4 linked regions of the Arabidopsis thaliana genome follow. The protein of the gene in region 1 interacts with the protein of each later gene in a pairwise test. Each region holds a gene or a part of one and is shown on either strand. Other genes may lie near its edges.

Region 1 (3,344 bases):
ACAACTGCTCTACAAGACTGCATTGCCCACTACAAGCAGTGAATGTTGTCCACCCTCAGCTTCTTTATACGTTCGTGAAGCATGCATGTGCATTTTGTTGGTGCGCGCATAGTAAGCCATGCCATGCAATTCAATGCCAATGGTTTACGAACATATAGACAAGTAAAGTTTTCAATTATTTCATGAGTACCTAAAAACCACATTCATAGAACAGTTTGCAAGTATTCGAAATTTGGGAAAACATGCATACGACCTCACCGCATCTCTCAAAGGCCGAATACAATTTTTGAGGAATGATTAAACAAAGAAATATTTTTACAATCACACTAACTACAATACGTTCATGAAGACAACGTAAATGACACGAGCCATTTAGCGCAGCCTTCGAAATTTATTTAGCGAGTATAGATAAAGTGGTTCAAGCCTTGGTATTGATACACAAAATTCACAAACCTTGCAATTTTCTTTTTGAACATAAAAACAACAATATTATTTCAAATCAAACGGACCACACTCAAAACTACATTTACATATACCAAGAAAGCCACCATATAATTCTAGAAGCCAGACGGTGACCAAGTAATTGGCATTTATTAATTTACTTAATTCGTTATCATCTTTCCTTACACTAGCTATTTCACAATCATAAAACAGAAAATACCGATCAGCAATTAAACACACAAAAAATTGTATGGAAAATAGAAAATAAAATTTTAGATAGATCTTTTCAAAAAGGTAAGAACAGTATTAAAAAAACATACGTAGGATAATCATAAAACTTAATACAACATATAGATCCATATAATTATTAAACTCTAATGAGTAGTTGTTGTGGTTTGGTGTGTTTGTTGTGGCTGCGAGTGCGTATAATGTCCCAACTCTTTGGCTTTCTCCGCTATCCTCATCCTCGCGTAATCCACCTTATCCGCTCCCATCGGGTGTTTTCCGGTAACGTACTTATAAATCCACGTTAACGCCGTAGCTGCTGCCACCCCACAACCACCGGAGAATAGGAATCCCATCGTCAAAAGCCCTATCGTTATCACTGCCGGTACCAACACCGGGCTGAACAGAACCATCAACGGCGTCGCTACGATCAAACCGATCACCGTTCCGGTTAGTGTTAGTCCTGAGAGCACGAGGAGTGATAGGCCGATCGTAGCTGCCGTTACGAATCTCACTATCTGCCGAGTCGATGGTGATGATTCATGGAGACTCCTCATTATTGGTTGTTGTTGTTGCTGATGTTGTTGATGATCCGCCATTTCTTTTTTTCTTTTTCTAAGAGAGTATGGATTTAATGTTCTATGTTGTTTTTGTAGCTTTAATAAGCTTACCATTTGTGATTATTATGAAGAATGAAAATAGACTAGTATGAAGGAGAGGCTAAACTTAAACGAGACATGTGTCGAACGACGAGGCGTGTTAGGCAATGGAGAAGAGTGTCACGCGGGCGTGTCAGTTCTGCATGGAGCTACTTTGACGAGGTACTGACACGTGGTTACTTAGTTCCGAATTAAAATCTCATCGTCAAACGATCTTGAAGCTTATTGGGCTATTATCTGGGCTTGTAGTGACTGTATATTATCCTAGTGATTATGAAGTTGGAATACCGTGGGCTTAATAATATCTGGGCCTGTAGCGACTGTATCATCTCGGGAGACAAATTATTTGAAAATAAAAACCTCGATGCAGATGTATCAACACGTGGCAGCATCTGGATTCGACCGTTGCTGCTTTGCTGGTGGTTTACGTTTTTTCCCCTTTTTAAATTTCTCAATTTGGATCTGTTCCCTTTGTGAAAATTACTCTCTCTTCTCTCTTTCTTTCTTCTCTTTCTCTCGCTATCTTGGCTCATCAACGATCTCTTCCATGGGGATTTCTACAGAGACGCAGCAAATTGTAAGAAAATAACTTGTTCTTGGTTTCACAAATTCCAATTTCATTTGGTTCTTTTGTCGAATTTGTTTCAATTTAGGGTTTTACTTCCTTGTTGGTTTGCGTTTTTTCTCTGCGTTTGGTCTGTTCTAATGGAATGTGATCTGGGATTATCGATTTGGTTGCTTGATTTTCTTTGCGCCAGAAAGAATCTTGTTTCAATGTTCTCTGTTTAATTTGAGAAAGACTTGTTGGTATGATTTTGAGAAATTTCATGATATGATTGTGGATTTATTCGTTTACAGCGAGGACCCTAGATTAATTGACAAATCCGTGGATTAGTGTTAAGGAGCTGTTGATTTTATCCTTTTATCTTCAAGTTTTAAAGTATCAATGATTGTTTGTCGTTTATGATTAAGTGTATCTGAGAGTTGATTGGATTTCAATCTTTGTGATAATGTTGTATCAGGCGGCTTCAGAGGCTGCACAAAAGAGATGGACTACAAGCGATTTCGATATCGGAAAGCCACTTGGTAGAGGAAAGTTTGGCCATGTTTATCTAGCAAGAGAGAAACGGGTTAGTGTTTCTTCACAATTATGTTAAACAAGCAGAATTAATTTGATGTCTTTTTTAACCAAGCTGTCTTCTATGTGTCTTTGCAAACAGAGCGATCACATTGTGGCTTTAAAGGTTCTTTTTAAGGCTCAGCTTCAACAATCTCAAGTTGAACACCAGTTACGAAGGGAAGTAGAGATTCAATCTCATCTTCGGCATCCCAATATTCTGCGGCTCTACGGTTACTTCTATGATCAGGTTTTGTGTTATCTGTGCTTGTAAAAGAACTTCTTGTTGACATACAATGTTTGGCTCTGTGAGGTTAACATAGTTTTTGGGATACCGTTGTTGCAGAAAAGAGTTTATTTGATTTTGGAGTATGCTGTAAGGGGTGAGCTTTATAAAGAGCTTCAGAAGTGCAAGTACTTCAGCGAACGTCGAGCAGCAACTGTAAGTCCTAGTGATAATTGAACTTATTCTAGCATGTTAATGTGAATCTGTGTAGTCATACCCTTACGTTTATTGTGGCAGTATGTTGCGTCATTGGCTAGAGCCCTCATCTATTGCCATGGAAAGCATGTAATTCACAGAGATATAAAACCTGAAAATCTGTTGATTGGTGCTCAGGTAACAAATTGAATCTGGTTATCTTTCTCCATCAACGCCATGTGATTGCAGTTAGCTTATGTGTTTATGTATTCATGGATATATGTTTTCAGGGTGAGCTCAAGATTGCAGATTTTGGATGGTCAGTACACACATTCAACCGTAGAAGGACTATGTGTGGCACTTTGGATTACCTTCCACCTGAGATGGGTAAGAGAAAGCTCTCTCTCTCTTGTGTGATTCTAAATTACTTTCTTCGGCAACCAGCTAATTGACTTTTCTGCTTTTGGATTCACAGTGGAAA
Region 2 (5,310 bases), on another chromosome or scaffold:
CTCTACTGTAATCTACCTTGAATTTTTGAAGACGTGACTCATTGTTAAACTGGAGAAATCTGTCAATGAAATCAATCAACAGTTTTTCGTTGTTGTTCTGAAAGGGGAAATCACGGCAGTTCAAATCAAGTCCGGGAACATTAAGCCATAGATTCTTCCATCTAGTCGATAAAACACTCGTCTTCACAGAAGCTTTAGTCGGAAGGTGTAACAGTATTTGACTAATCAAAGATTCCGGCAATTCGCTAATTCTATCAAACCCAGGCATGACCTAATAGCATTAACAAACAATAAATTAATCGAATTCCAAAAACTAGGGTACAAGTGTCTGACTATAAACGAAATACTCACCGTGGATTCCATTCGCCGGCGGAATTATTGGCCGGAGTTGTGGAATTAGCTTCAGCTACGAGCTAAACGATGAACATGAAGTGATAATGAAAGAGAATCACAAAATTGAAGTATTTATACGTTCGAAGCGGTTCCGATTCCAATTTTTGCGTTTCCAAAAAAATAAAACGGTTGCCATTATTATAATTCTTTAATTTTCCATTAATAACAAACGTTATACAATGTTAAACCGACATTTTACGGTTAAACCGGTATCGGTTACATGTTTTACATGACTTAGAACTAACATATTTTTGTATGTTTGCAACGAGTTAACAAACTATTTTGATCTTGAAAGGCGATAAAGCTCAGTCGAACTTAGCAGCGGAAGTGTGAGATATCCAATTAGCTCTCCAAGTAATGGAAGGCGAAAGAAGACGCTCTGTTTTCCAACCTCCTGATCTCAGCTACATGGGAAACAACAGAAAGAAAAAGAGTGAAAACAGTAGCTTTAGTGTCATAAAAACACGGTTTAACTGGTCCTAGTGATTTAATCTTACCTTGTGGAGCAATTCGTCATAGTGTTTATCAATCCAAGCTTCTCCTTCTGAATAAAAAGATGTGCTCTTTTCCATAAGGTTTGCCAAAACAATGGCATGAATATATGATTTCAACACATCTGCAGGTTTTGAATCTTTGTGCAAGATCACACTAACATTTCCCTTTATGTGAGCCAATAAATACTTAGCTGCAGGAGTGTACAACAACAGACAAGAACCGAGCTTACGTCAAGTATGGACAGAGAAACTAATGTCCTTGAAAGATTGTGGAAAAATAAATCAATCAAACCATTCTTGTATGAAGAAGCTCCAACACCATTTAGCAGCTGCAACCTGCACACAAATATGTCAAGCTTGAGCCGATTCTTTACCCGAAAATTATGATAATCTAGTATAGAGCTTACATATCTAGACGAGGGAGAGAGGAAACTCTCACACCTAACTGCACTCTCTTATGCAATGGCTTTGAATTCGTTGACCTCAATGAAGTGGCCCACAAGGGCAATACACCCTCCATTGAAGAAACCTGTTCGGGAGAGAGAACTGGCAACACGTTTAGTTAAAGAAAGTTATTGGTATATGGTGCAATAATAAAGAGAAACCAATAAAAAACAAAGGAAAGCCACTGAAAACTTGAAAGAATCAATGGCGCATTTCGAAATTACCTTGGCCAGTTTGAATGAAATGTGTTAGAAGAATTGAACTCCTCTCAAAGTTTAATGAATTCAATACAAGACACCGGACAGCTCTATAGTTTGCTAAATATATAAGAAAGGCAAACAGTGAGAGAAATTCTGATTTGATCTATGCTTTAACCTTCATTTGTGACTTACCATACATATGAAACACGGTGAGAGAGAGAAACGAAAGCCAAATAGCCATAGGGTTTCCAGAGGTAAACCGAGCTAGCAACATTCCCAATGACATACCCATCATAGTTGCCATAGTCTCTTGGCTTCCTTCCTTTCAATAGATAAAATAGAAGCAAAGAATTACTCAAAGTTCACATTTATAGTTTCTATATCATTCACAGTGACAAGAAGTAAAGAGTACCTTAGCAGATATATCCGCTGCATTGTCTTGAAGAGCAAAGTGCTGTGTTAGAGCTGCTCTGGTTGCTCCACTTGCAACACCAGCTAATAGCCAAGATTGAAAAAAGTTAAAAACCGATGTATCAATCCAAACCGAAGTCTTAACTTCAATGTTTGATGCAAGAAATGATACGCACTAAATGATCTTGATAGGCTCCCTAAGCAAACCACAACGATAAAGGCAGATGGAAACAAAGGAGAAAGAAGGTCCATTAGCATTCCTGCAATAAAAGCAACAAAGCTTGTAGTCATTCAACTGAGAACCAAATACAGGCAATTAGTATCAAGTGTGATGTGACAACTAACTTTTACATACCAATATCATTCATAAGGTCAGCAACTAGGCGCCACATTTTTGCATTGCTATCCAGGTTGGAACCCTGAAGAACAGAACAGTTCCCATTAAATAAGAACGTAACCAATCTAAATCTTAAAGAAAAGGGAAGAGAATCGATGTGTATTATGATTGGGAAGAATCTGCTACATAGGCACCTGATAAAATGTGAACAATATACCTCCAAGCATCCCAGTAAAATCCCTCAGAAACCACTGCATAATACACAAGATAGAATCACTATTCTCCATTGCGCTTTATAGTTCTTGAGAGAACTAGTGTGAAATGTTATATGTAAGCAATGGAAAAACTCACCTGAAATGTAGCACCTATAACAGTTGCGGATTTCTCACCAACGCCAATTGCACTCAAAAGAGCCTGAAAATAGTCCAAATCAGAAATGCTGCAGCAGACAAATTGGACCAAAATAGAGAACTCAGAAGCTCAAAAACTTTAGCTTTAGCTCACCTGAGTGGAAAGCATCATCTTTGTATAAGTTGAGAGGCCCTGCAACAAACATAGCCGAGAGTCACAATTCAAATTTCACAGTAGCTATAAGGCATACAAGCATATTCTCACATACCTGTAATGTGTCCCATAACTGAAACCCTACATAATCTGGAGTTACACTGCCAGGAAAGCCCTGCACTAGACAAAGTACAATTCAGCCAAACCCTAATCCGGAGGACAGATTCTAAAGGGAAAAAGAGAGAAAACACTTGCCTCTGGTACAAATGCTTGAAGAACTCGTCTCCACACATGATTAAAGCGATTAGCAGACCTATGAATCACTCACAGGAGACGAAAACCCAAGAAAGTTTCTCAATTTTGTTGTGAATCCACTGAAACTATCAGATTTGGATTGATTTCAAAGAGGAATAAAGAAGAACCTTTGGATAGAGAGAGAAGAGGAGGCAGTGATGGTTGCTGTTTTGAATAGCTTAGTGGAAGAAGAACCATTCCATTCTTCAAGAGTAATCGATCCGCAATCAGAGACTTGTTCTTCTCTCATGGCGAATTTTGGCTTCTTACGAGTGAAAAGAATCACTTATTCAAATGTTTAGACTTTATGAGTGTTTTGGACTTTGTGTTGGGTTTCAATTGCAATTGAATAGTCCAATGACCCAAATGTGATTGGACTTTGGGTTAGTAAAAGGTACGTTTTTGGCAAACGCAGGTCACATGTCCACATCATAGTCTTCTTTTGGCTCCCAATTGGATTTCTAGATTTAGAAACACTTAAACCAACAAGTCACGGAAGTGTGTGAAAGGAATGTTAATGCTAATGATCACCATATCTTTATATGCTTTGTGCCTATGTTTCTAGGTTTTGATCATCAGTCACCAACTTTATAAATGTTGTTTCCTACAAGTTATCTCTAGAACACAGTTGTATCACATTCATCTTCATCTTCAGACATTTGTTTTCATGATCTTCTTGTGAGAAATGGGAAACTTGTTGATGTTTTGGTGACTCTTGTGTCAATTCAAGAGGGAAAATCTCATCGAAAGCAACCTTTGTCAGGAGTTGCAATTCATAGGACACTGTTTGATGTGAATGAAGAAGCTTATGTCAAAGCTTCTCCAACAGTTCTCGGATTTGATGTAAAGCTTTGTGTTATTTTATATGATAAAAGCTTTACATTGCACCTTTTTCTTTGTTTCTACAGTGCTTCGATTTGTCTTACAAGAGTTAAATATGTCGATCCACCTCTACTGTGTTCTACGCCTATCAAGGTCTTTTCCTCATCAAGGTTTACTACGAGGTTTTGTGCTTCTCTTCTCTGCAATGAGTCTTAAATTTCTTTACAAATTCTTTAAAGTTTGATGTGTTACTAGTTTCTCTTCTTGTCAGGGTCTTTTAAAAGTATATGCAAACATCATTGTATTATATTAGAATATATATATATATATATATAGTATTCAGATTCATTATTTCAACTGATTAGATCTATGGAACAAATTGAGAGAGAAGAAGACAAGATTCTGAATTTGAACAGCAGCTAAAAAGCAAGAACAAATTTGACTTTTTAATTCCCTCTCAGAAAAGAAATGACGAACCCAAAAGTTCTTTCTAACTTAAGAAAAACTTGAGCAAAACTTAAGCAAAACTTAAGAAAAATTTAAGAAAAAAACATTCCATTTTCTTATCAAATTAGTTCTAATATTATCGTAGCTAGTGCTCAAATATCACCTAGGTTCATAACAGAGAAAACACATGGTACATATTTGGATTTTGGCCACAACTATTTGAGAAAAACTGTATGTATGTATTCGGGATCACGCCATCCAACCATCCTTGCAGGAGCCATTAAACGGGACTATTCATGTTGTTGCGGGAGGTGGAGGAGCCAGTCTAGATGATTTCTCTTGCATGCAGTCCAGCTGGAGCCTGCTCGGCGACAAGGACTTTGGGTTCGTCACCTTAATTGTCGTCGATCACTCTACCATTCAGTTCGAGTACAGGAGAAGCAGCGACGCAGTCATCCACGACTCTTTCGAGATAGCGAGGGAGTACAAAGAGATACTGGCGACTTTCACTTTGTAGGATAGGGAGAAATTAAAATAAAACGGCTATCTATTTTTATTTTGGACGGTTAATTGGAATAAAAATATCTGGTTTATTTAATATTGTCTTTATAAGTAAGTATTCGTGTAATAAACGATTGGTCGATTCTTAGTTTTTACTTGCGAATCTGAAGAATCTGATGATCGATGACGAAGATGATTCACTAAAGCCTCTTCTTCAATTGGAAGGTTCTGGTTCAGTAAAATTTTCCGGTTAAATTACTCAATAAGACGGTTCAGTGGTTAAGTGGGTCGATGTCTATTACTTAAAATGGATCAAGGTTTTAGAGGTTTTAAATAATGGATCAAATTAATTTCGTTTCTGAATCTGTGTAATCTTTTGTTGTTTTCAAAATGTTTTAAAGTTATAAAGAGGGCACCGTGCCTGTAGCAACATGTAATGATAGATCTCGATTTTGTTCCTATT
Region 3 (3,521 bases), on another chromosome or scaffold:
ACTTTTGAGACATGCAACATACCGCTTGTGGCCATAGCAACAGTACAAACGAAAGCCATTCTCATCACATATCATTGTTAATATAATACCTAACGTTAGGCTTCTCCTGCAGTTCCCAACAGGTCTGGCTTTAGCTATTGAGAAGAAAAGCAGAAGGATAGAGATATCACTATACTGCTTAGCGAGGGCGATAGAGAGCTTCTTTACTTGCATGACAGAGGCAGGATACATTCGACCGCCCAAGAGTTTAAGAAGAGCGGATGTGGTTGTGTTCAGCGTTTCGACAGCCATTATAATGCATTGTTACGCACAAGAAAGAGACGTATTTCGATCAAAATACTTGAACGTACTAGATTGGGTCTTCGGTGTTCCTCCTCCCCCTCCTGCTCCTTCTTGCGAAACAACCTAGAGACATTCACTTTTAACCTAAAGATCTTTCTGATGTGGGACAGAATTTGGTGGTAGAATGCTCATTTAGAGTCTCTAGGAGTTTTGTTTTGGGTCAATTTTGTATACCACAATCCATTTGACAATTTTTGTCCATCTTATGTGGACACACCAATATGTAATCTGGTAGTCTTACATGTTCTACAAAGTTAAAATAAAACGAAGCTAAATATTTTGTTAATCAACAACACTAAACCATAAAAAAGATGGACCAAGTAAATACAATATGGCTTCAATAATTTGATACGAACATCCACCACCTATACACTGCATATCCATAGACCGTGCCGTATAAAACCATCCTCATAGGGTACACTCTAAACCTGCATTACTTGGTCCAAAGATGTATCCATTATCCATTAATTAGGCCAGTAAACCAAACCAAAATTTGGATCTAACAATTAAAATCAATAGAAAATATTCACGAAAATAAACAAATTCAATCATAACTTGTACACCTAATTCGTAGATATACAATAATACATACATTGCAAATGGAACCTAACATTGTATGTATGGTTTGAGATTCGCTCTTTTGAATCCAAATTAATATCGGTTGACAAAAAAAAAATTGTATGTATGATTTATGTTTATCCAATAGGTTTTAAGGCAATAAAGCTAAACCAAAATTTAGATCTAATAATTCAAAGATTAATATATAATGATATGATAAAACAACTAGTTTGATATTGAGATAAGATAAACAAGTAACCTTGAAGGATGAGATTTGCGGGCGAGAGCGGCTGATCTTTCCTCGGCGGTGACAGGATAGCCCCACCGAGAGAAACTCCGATCAAAGAAGTCCCAATCCGGCAAAAGTATGCCGCCAATAAGAGAAATACCGACGGCGTAAGTAACAACCGTCTTCTTTAAAGACTGTGTCCATAACCATACAACTACCATCACCACTGCAAGACCTACCATTGATGATCTTAGTGCTGCTTCGTTTCCCATTATGGCTAAGAGAGAGTAGATAGCTTATATTTAAAACGGGATTAGTTGAAGTTGCTTTATAACAGTGTAAACATGGAAAGAAGATTCACAGATTATGTAGGATGTAGGAGAAAGATTTCATTTATGTGTTAAAGATAATATTTAATGGATTTTTTTATATAGGGTATATTCTTTTGGAAAAATGCGTGGCAATCAATTGAATTGAATGCCGCCATAAATGTGGTAATGTCCCAACCGTATTTTTGGATCCAAGTTTTTGTGTTTGTTCAGTTTTATCTTTATTTATGGTTTTGATCATAGAGTAATTAGAATTATACCGAAAAATTAGGAAAAAAAAGATAAATTTTGGAATGACAAGAAGGAATTCACAAACTTTTCTTTATTTTTAATTTTTTGTAGTGTAAATGTAAAAACGGATAATTTGGTATGAAAGAATTATACCGAATTGCATCATACCATATATATAAACAATATCTCTCGGATTAACTCTTTGAATTCTAATTAATATCGGTTGCCAAAAAAAATTTGTAGAATAAAATGACATAATCATCAAGCGGGACAGAAATTATTTTTAACTTTCACAAGCATAAGATTATATGAGTACGTTGTACTTTAAACATAAGACAACAAAAAAATCTTATCATATTTTTGAGGTAAAAAAAATTATAAAATTGACCAAACAATGTGTTATACATATGAAATTTACTATTTATTATTTATTTGTTATCTCATTTAATATTATGTTATAATTTTAAATTGATAAACTTAAATTTTGAATCCTCAATATTTAATTAACTTTACCAATCAAACTCTACATCTACAACCAACACATGTAATCATACAACAAAAAGTTTATAGCTACTGCCGAACAACAGTAAAAAGGAAAGTTACTACTCAACCAAACACCCACATAATTGGTTACTAACATAAATTTTGTTTTGATAGTTGGCATCGTTAGTAATAACCTCAAACTTTTCTTTTCTTTTCGCCAAAAAGTAATAACCTCAAACTACGAATGTCGTTTTGTAAATGAAGATTTCTAATTTTTTCCTATAAATGTGAAAACAAAGTAAATACTCTTTTTCATTGATAGTATATTAGTATCTAAAGCATTAATCTTACAAAGGTTGTTAGATCTATATAAATTCAGAAACAATTTTTTAAAATCCGAAGCCACAAAACTACGCATTGACAAAGGACAAGTTTAAGTCCCTTGGTAGAAACAAATGACGTCGACTATTTCTATTGTTAAATAGCGACGAGATTAAGCCCTCATATATATGCGGCTAAATAGCAACACCATGTTTCTTTTACACATGTTTTTCTATGAACTTGCTACAAAAGTTCATGAGAAAGTGTGGTCACATCTTAATAATATCTATTCCTCGGTAACTATTTTAGTCTATATCTACTAACCAATATTTGAATATTTTCTCAGTAACAAAGTAAAATATAATACTGATTCCCCCAATGGTACTGTGATGCCACATTGCTAAACACTCAATTAAGTTTGGTTTTGATACCCCTTATAACATCATGATCGCCAATGTTTATTTACCATCAATTACAGTTTTGACCTACAAATCTCATCCTCGTTATTCGACCAGTGCACTTCTACATGTAAGGTTGATAGACTTGTTTACTAGTCTTGTTGATCATCACAAGATATTTTTATGTGTTTTGTGAATTCTTGCACAATACTAAAAATCACAATCTTTATATTGCTTCGCGTGTGGGATCAAACCTAACGATAAGATCAAGAAATTTGTTCCAAACCTCTCGTAAAGACACAAACAAGACACAATGAGAACTCTGGAAGCTCTACACTAGCTAGGAATCTGAGTTTGTAAGAACAACAGATCATCATATTTTTTGAAAATCATTTAAGTCGACTAGACCTGGGTAATAATATCACTTAATCCCTTCTCAATTATTTTGGATGCATCTTCAACATTTTGTTTTTGATAAATTCGAATCATATATGCAGAAAAAACAATTTAAATACAAATGATAAGATGATTTAGCTCTTAAAAATGACCAAAGAAACAAACAAAGATGAGAAGAAGAAATTTTGATTCTCATTATATCTTTTTAATTAAAAAATAAAATTTTATTTAGTA
Region 4 (3,912 bases), on another chromosome or scaffold:
TTCTATCACGTCCGTGTATGCAAGTCTTCTTTACCCATTTTATTGTCTTGTCTTTCTTTTTGGTTTGTACTTTACTTTGTACTGGATATCCGGTCACCGACTCAAATATATGCCGACGTTGGAGGTCATGCACTAAATTAGATATGATGACTTATTGTCATTTCCAAATTATTCATTTACGTCATAAACCAAACTACAAGTTTTTCTTTTTCAGTCACACCTCATACGTTATTGTCAACTTTTTTTCCTGCGGTTCTTCTTTGCCGTTTCGGGTAATGCCATTTGTCCCTTGGGCAGATTCCTTTTCCTCATTTTTGGACACACCGACATGAAGTCGTCGTCCATAGTTGGATAAGATTTCAGGAGTCTATCCCTGGTCGGAGTCACTTGCAAATGACCTCTTCAAACTTTTACTTACTTAGTTAATAAAAAGTTTCTTAGATAAATGAACCATATAATTCATCTTTTATGACAGCATGACATTTAATTTAATGTTTATATCAAACCATATTCATGAATTGAGTGATCGATCTGTATTAATTTTATAACATGCAACTGCTAGAATATATGCTTGCTTTATAGAGTACTAAAGACGATTCACGTTTCTCTTAAATGGTGTTGTATAATGCGATAGATGGTTCAACATCTAACATTTAACACATCTCTCGTGTTCTTCATTGTTCTCCTCACAAACCCCACGCATCTTTTCCATTTTTAAGGTTCTGTTTATTACTACTACGATCTCACTTTAATGCTCACTATCACGCAGTCACTGCAATCTCCAGCTTTTTAGTACTCCATTCGTTACAAGTATTACATTTATATTTCTGTATCCATTAAATATAAATTCAAGTAAGAAAGTTCCAAACAAAACAAAAATCCAAGAAATTTTTTTAGAAGCCGTGAATTCTCTGGCCTTCTTCTACTTGACAATACCTTATCTCTCTGACTCTTCTCTGAAATTTTTTAACTAACAACTGAAGAAATCTCCTTTTGGATCATTCCAAAAGTTTCACAAAATCCAGAAGAAAAAAAGAAGAAGATTATATAGAAAATTTCAATTGTGAAATTATCAAAATTCCCTCTAGAAACTCCATTTCCAGACCTTGACACTAAGATCAGACTTACACTTAGTTTTTTTAGAAGTAGCTACAATTGGAGTTTTACCTTTTGGTATAGTTCCTTCAAATCCTTCACATGTCACTTTGATCTCTACTCCTTCACTCTTCAGCTTCCCCATTATCATCTTCACTTTAGTTCTCATCTCGATCTCATATCCTACACGCGCGCGCGTCAGATCTGATCTCAGATGCTTAGCTTCATCCGGATCTAACTCACGCGCCGCTGTAGACGTAGCGATCACGCCGTGAAACGAAGTTTTGTTACCGTTATCGCTGAAGAAAGCAGGAACAGTTCCGTTACCGAGCATCGTACCGGATTTAGCTGAATTAACGGTGACGGTGAAAGGATCGTAAGAGAAAGAGAGGTGTTGGTTTGGATTCTCTGAGATTAGAGTGAAGTTGAAGAAGGAAGAGAGATGAGAGACGGAGGAATCAGAGGAGGTTGTTAGGTTCACGCGGCTGATTCTTATTGACGGGACGGAGAACGACGGCGGACGAGGGTGGTAGATCACGTACATCGCGGTGGCGGCGATTGCAGTCATGAGAGCTAAGATCAGAATTATCAGAATCGACCAGAAACAGCAACAACAGCAAATTCGTCGGCAGCTTGGTCGAGATTGGTGGTGATGACGGCGACTGTAAGGCTGTGGACGGTAAACCGGACGGTTAGCTGGAATGTAGACTTGAGGTTTCTGATTAGCCATTCCGTTTGTTGTTCCGTTGCTGGTTACAGTCGCCGGAGCTGGAGGAGGTGGTATGGAACCAACTGGTGGAGCTCCATTAGTGGCGGTTGGTGGTTTGGAAGCTGGGAAGACTCGGTCAGTCATCTTCTTCTTCTCCGGTTGTTTCTTTCTCTCTGGTCAGATCTGAGCTCACAAAAGAGAGAGAGATAGTGAGAGAGAAAGAGACAATACAGAGTTTTTGTGGAATCTTAATAGCTTTTTTTTCTGAGTTTATTTATTTATTGCTTTTTAATAATTTGTTTTTTTTTCGGTTTTCAGTTTTTCTTAGATTTTTGTGAATGTTCATGACTTCCATGCCAAGTCTGTGGAATCTTTTTATTGGGTGGTAAAATAATTAATGTAAGCTGATTTATTACTTACAAAGTGGCCCCATTTATTTCTGAAAAAATTATTTACACGTGTAGTATTTTAGTAACGAGTAATACTAAGATGTGTCCTGTGTACTCAAATTTTTCTTGTTTTCAGAATTTAGTAATTCACAATAGAGTATAATGTAATCAAATGAAGAAGAAGAATGGGCAAAAAAGAGTAACAATTAAAGATGTAATTAAATATCAAAATGACGGAAATAATAATCCACCGACACATATAGTGATAGTGGTAGTAGTTCACTAAAGTGTGCACGCAATTGAAATAAGTTTGAATTTAAGTCAGTGCAGGTTAAAAAAAGAGGAAATAATTAAATGAGTGCAGATATTGGAGTATTAATAGATTAGGGATCCGAAATTAAAAATATAATTAGAATAATCTCGATTTGGTTCAGACTTCAGAGAGTAAATCCCAAGTCAATAATTATTTCATCGGCAATGCTGCTCTGCTTTGAATTTTGTTAATAACCTTTGCTTCCGAGCTCTCAATTCCCAAGATTTAGCGTGATTAATAATTCAAGAGCTCTCTAACTATGTAGTATAGTTACCAATTATCACCCGGTCAAGTGTCCACACCATAAAGTCTTTAAAAAAATAAAAATAAATAACACTCAAGATCGATCACATTTCATTAAAAGATAACTGCATTACAGAGAAGCATTGTCGGAAACATCCACAAGTGGTTCCAACCAGCAAGGTACATAAACATCAACAATGGAAACATAAAGGGCAAAACATTGAGCCTACTTCACCAAACCATAAAAGTGTCTAGACATCCCAATAACTTATGGTAAAGTTTGTTTTTAACGTCTTACAGTCAAACACCTAAATATACATCCCACAACCATCGACATGAATGCAATTACATACATAGTCAGAGATTATATAGTATGACGAGAGAAGCAAAGTTGTAAGAATAAAACAAATCCTAACTTACAAAGGAGGCAGAGCACAAATAACCAGAAGCAATGGTTGCCAAACAAAACAAATCCTAACTAAGAACATTCCTTGCTCTTTGTAATAGATATAGATAATTAAGAGAGTATGATAAGCATAACTTCAACAAATGTGGATTCTAAAACATAACTTCTCCACAACGTGCACGGCTAGATAGAGCACTTCATCGTTAGCATTCAACAAAATGTTTTACATTATCCTCTGAATATCCGCATAATACGAACAAATAGAAGTATTGGTAGGTGATGAGAAATGGCAAATTTTTATAGATAGGGCTAGATTTCCATGACTGCTTTAGGTGACCCCTTAAGCATCAAGATTATTACAACACACAACTAACACAACCGAACAAAACAAACACTAGCAGAAACTATCCCCCAAGGACAAAAACCATATCCAAAAGAAGTTAAAATCGACTTTGTTCTTTCTTCTTTTAACCATCGGTTCGACTATAACCACCGGTTCGATATTGTCGGATATCTAAAACCGGACCCGACAGGAACTACTCTTAAACTTGTTGACTTTTTTTTTCTAAACCCTTCAGTGTTACTGTAACAGTCGCACACCTAACAAAAATCCTCCAGCCATGGCGGCAGTTACTCAATTTCTCTCCCAACCTTCATCAATCCGCGGAACCCTAAATCAGTACCAATTGAATCAGACTTCACTCTCAAGAATCCCATTTTTGTCTCTCAAGTCAACATTGAAGCCACTTAAACGCCT

What was found.
Region 2: the proteins of AT2G25890 (region 1) and RUS3 interact in a protein complementation assay, tested with the Arabidopsis thaliana proteins (one large-scale study listed by BioGRID).
Region 3: the proteins of AT2G25890 (region 1) and AT1G34640 interact in a protein complementation assay, tested with the Arabidopsis thaliana proteins (one large-scale study listed by BioGRID).
Region 4: the proteins of AT2G25890 (region 1) and EMB3135 interact in a protein complementation assay, tested with the Arabidopsis thaliana proteins (one large-scale study listed by BioGRID).

What each region holds. Positions count from the first base shown.
Region 1 is NC_003071.7:11,035,356-11,038,699, reverse strand, and holds AT2G25890 (Oleosin family protein), read right to left. Parts: upstream 1,398-3,344; 5' UTR 1,341-1,397; coding exon 816-1,340; 3' UTR 521-815; downstream 1-520. Other genes in the region: AUR2 (ataurora2), read left to right, coding at 1,690-1,902, 2,348-2,455, 2,546-2,692, 2,789-2,884, 2,966-3,061, 3,154-3,250, 3,339-3,344.
Region 2 is NC_003070.9:4,719,734-4,725,043, reverse strand, and holds RUS3 (root UVB sensitive protein (Protein of unknown function, DUF647)), read right to left. Parts: upstream 3,471-5,310; 5' UTR 3,328-3,470; coding exon 3,206-3,327; exon of another isoform or gene 3,097-3,205; coding exon 3,039-3,096; intron 2,959-3,038; coding exon 2,899-2,958; intron 2,823-2,898; coding exon 2,784-2,822; intron 2,694-2,783; coding exon 2,631-2,693; intron 2,531-2,630; coding exon 2,474-2,530; intron 2,362-2,473; coding exon 2,298-2,361; intron 2,203-2,297; coding exon 2,119-2,202; intron 2,027-2,118; coding exon 1,944-2,026; intron 1,854-1,943; coding exon 1,724-1,853; intron 1,649-1,723; coding exon 1,556-1,648; intron 1,434-1,555; coding exon 1,295-1,433; intron 1,224-1,294; coding exon 1,180-1,223; coding exon of another isoform or gene 1,079-1,179; coding exon 891-1,078; intron 798-890; coding exon 699-797; 3' UTR 529-698; downstream 1-528. Other genes in the region: AT1G13780 (F-box/RNI-like/FBD-like domains-containing protein), read right to left, coding at 1-271, 352-363; AT1G13760 (uncharacterized protein), read left to right, coding at 3,943-4,081, 4,621-4,679.
Region 3 is NC_003070.9:12,687,027-12,690,547, forward strand, and holds AT1G34640 (peptidase), read right to left. Parts: upstream 1,518-3,521; 5' UTR 1,402-1,517; coding exon 1,160-1,401; intron 771-1,159; coding exon 680-770; 3' UTR 526-679; downstream 1-525. Other genes in the region: AT1G34630 (uncharacterized protein), read left to right, coding at 1-42, 113-409.
Region 4 is NC_003076.8:3,829,806-3,833,717, reverse strand, and holds EMB3135 (harpin-induced protein), read right to left. Parts: upstream 2,219-3,912; 5' UTR 1,949-2,218; coding exon 1,085-1,948; 3' UTR 567-1,084; downstream 1-566. Other genes in the region: AT5G11880 (Pyridoxal-dependent decarboxylase family protein), read left to right, coding at 3,776-3,912.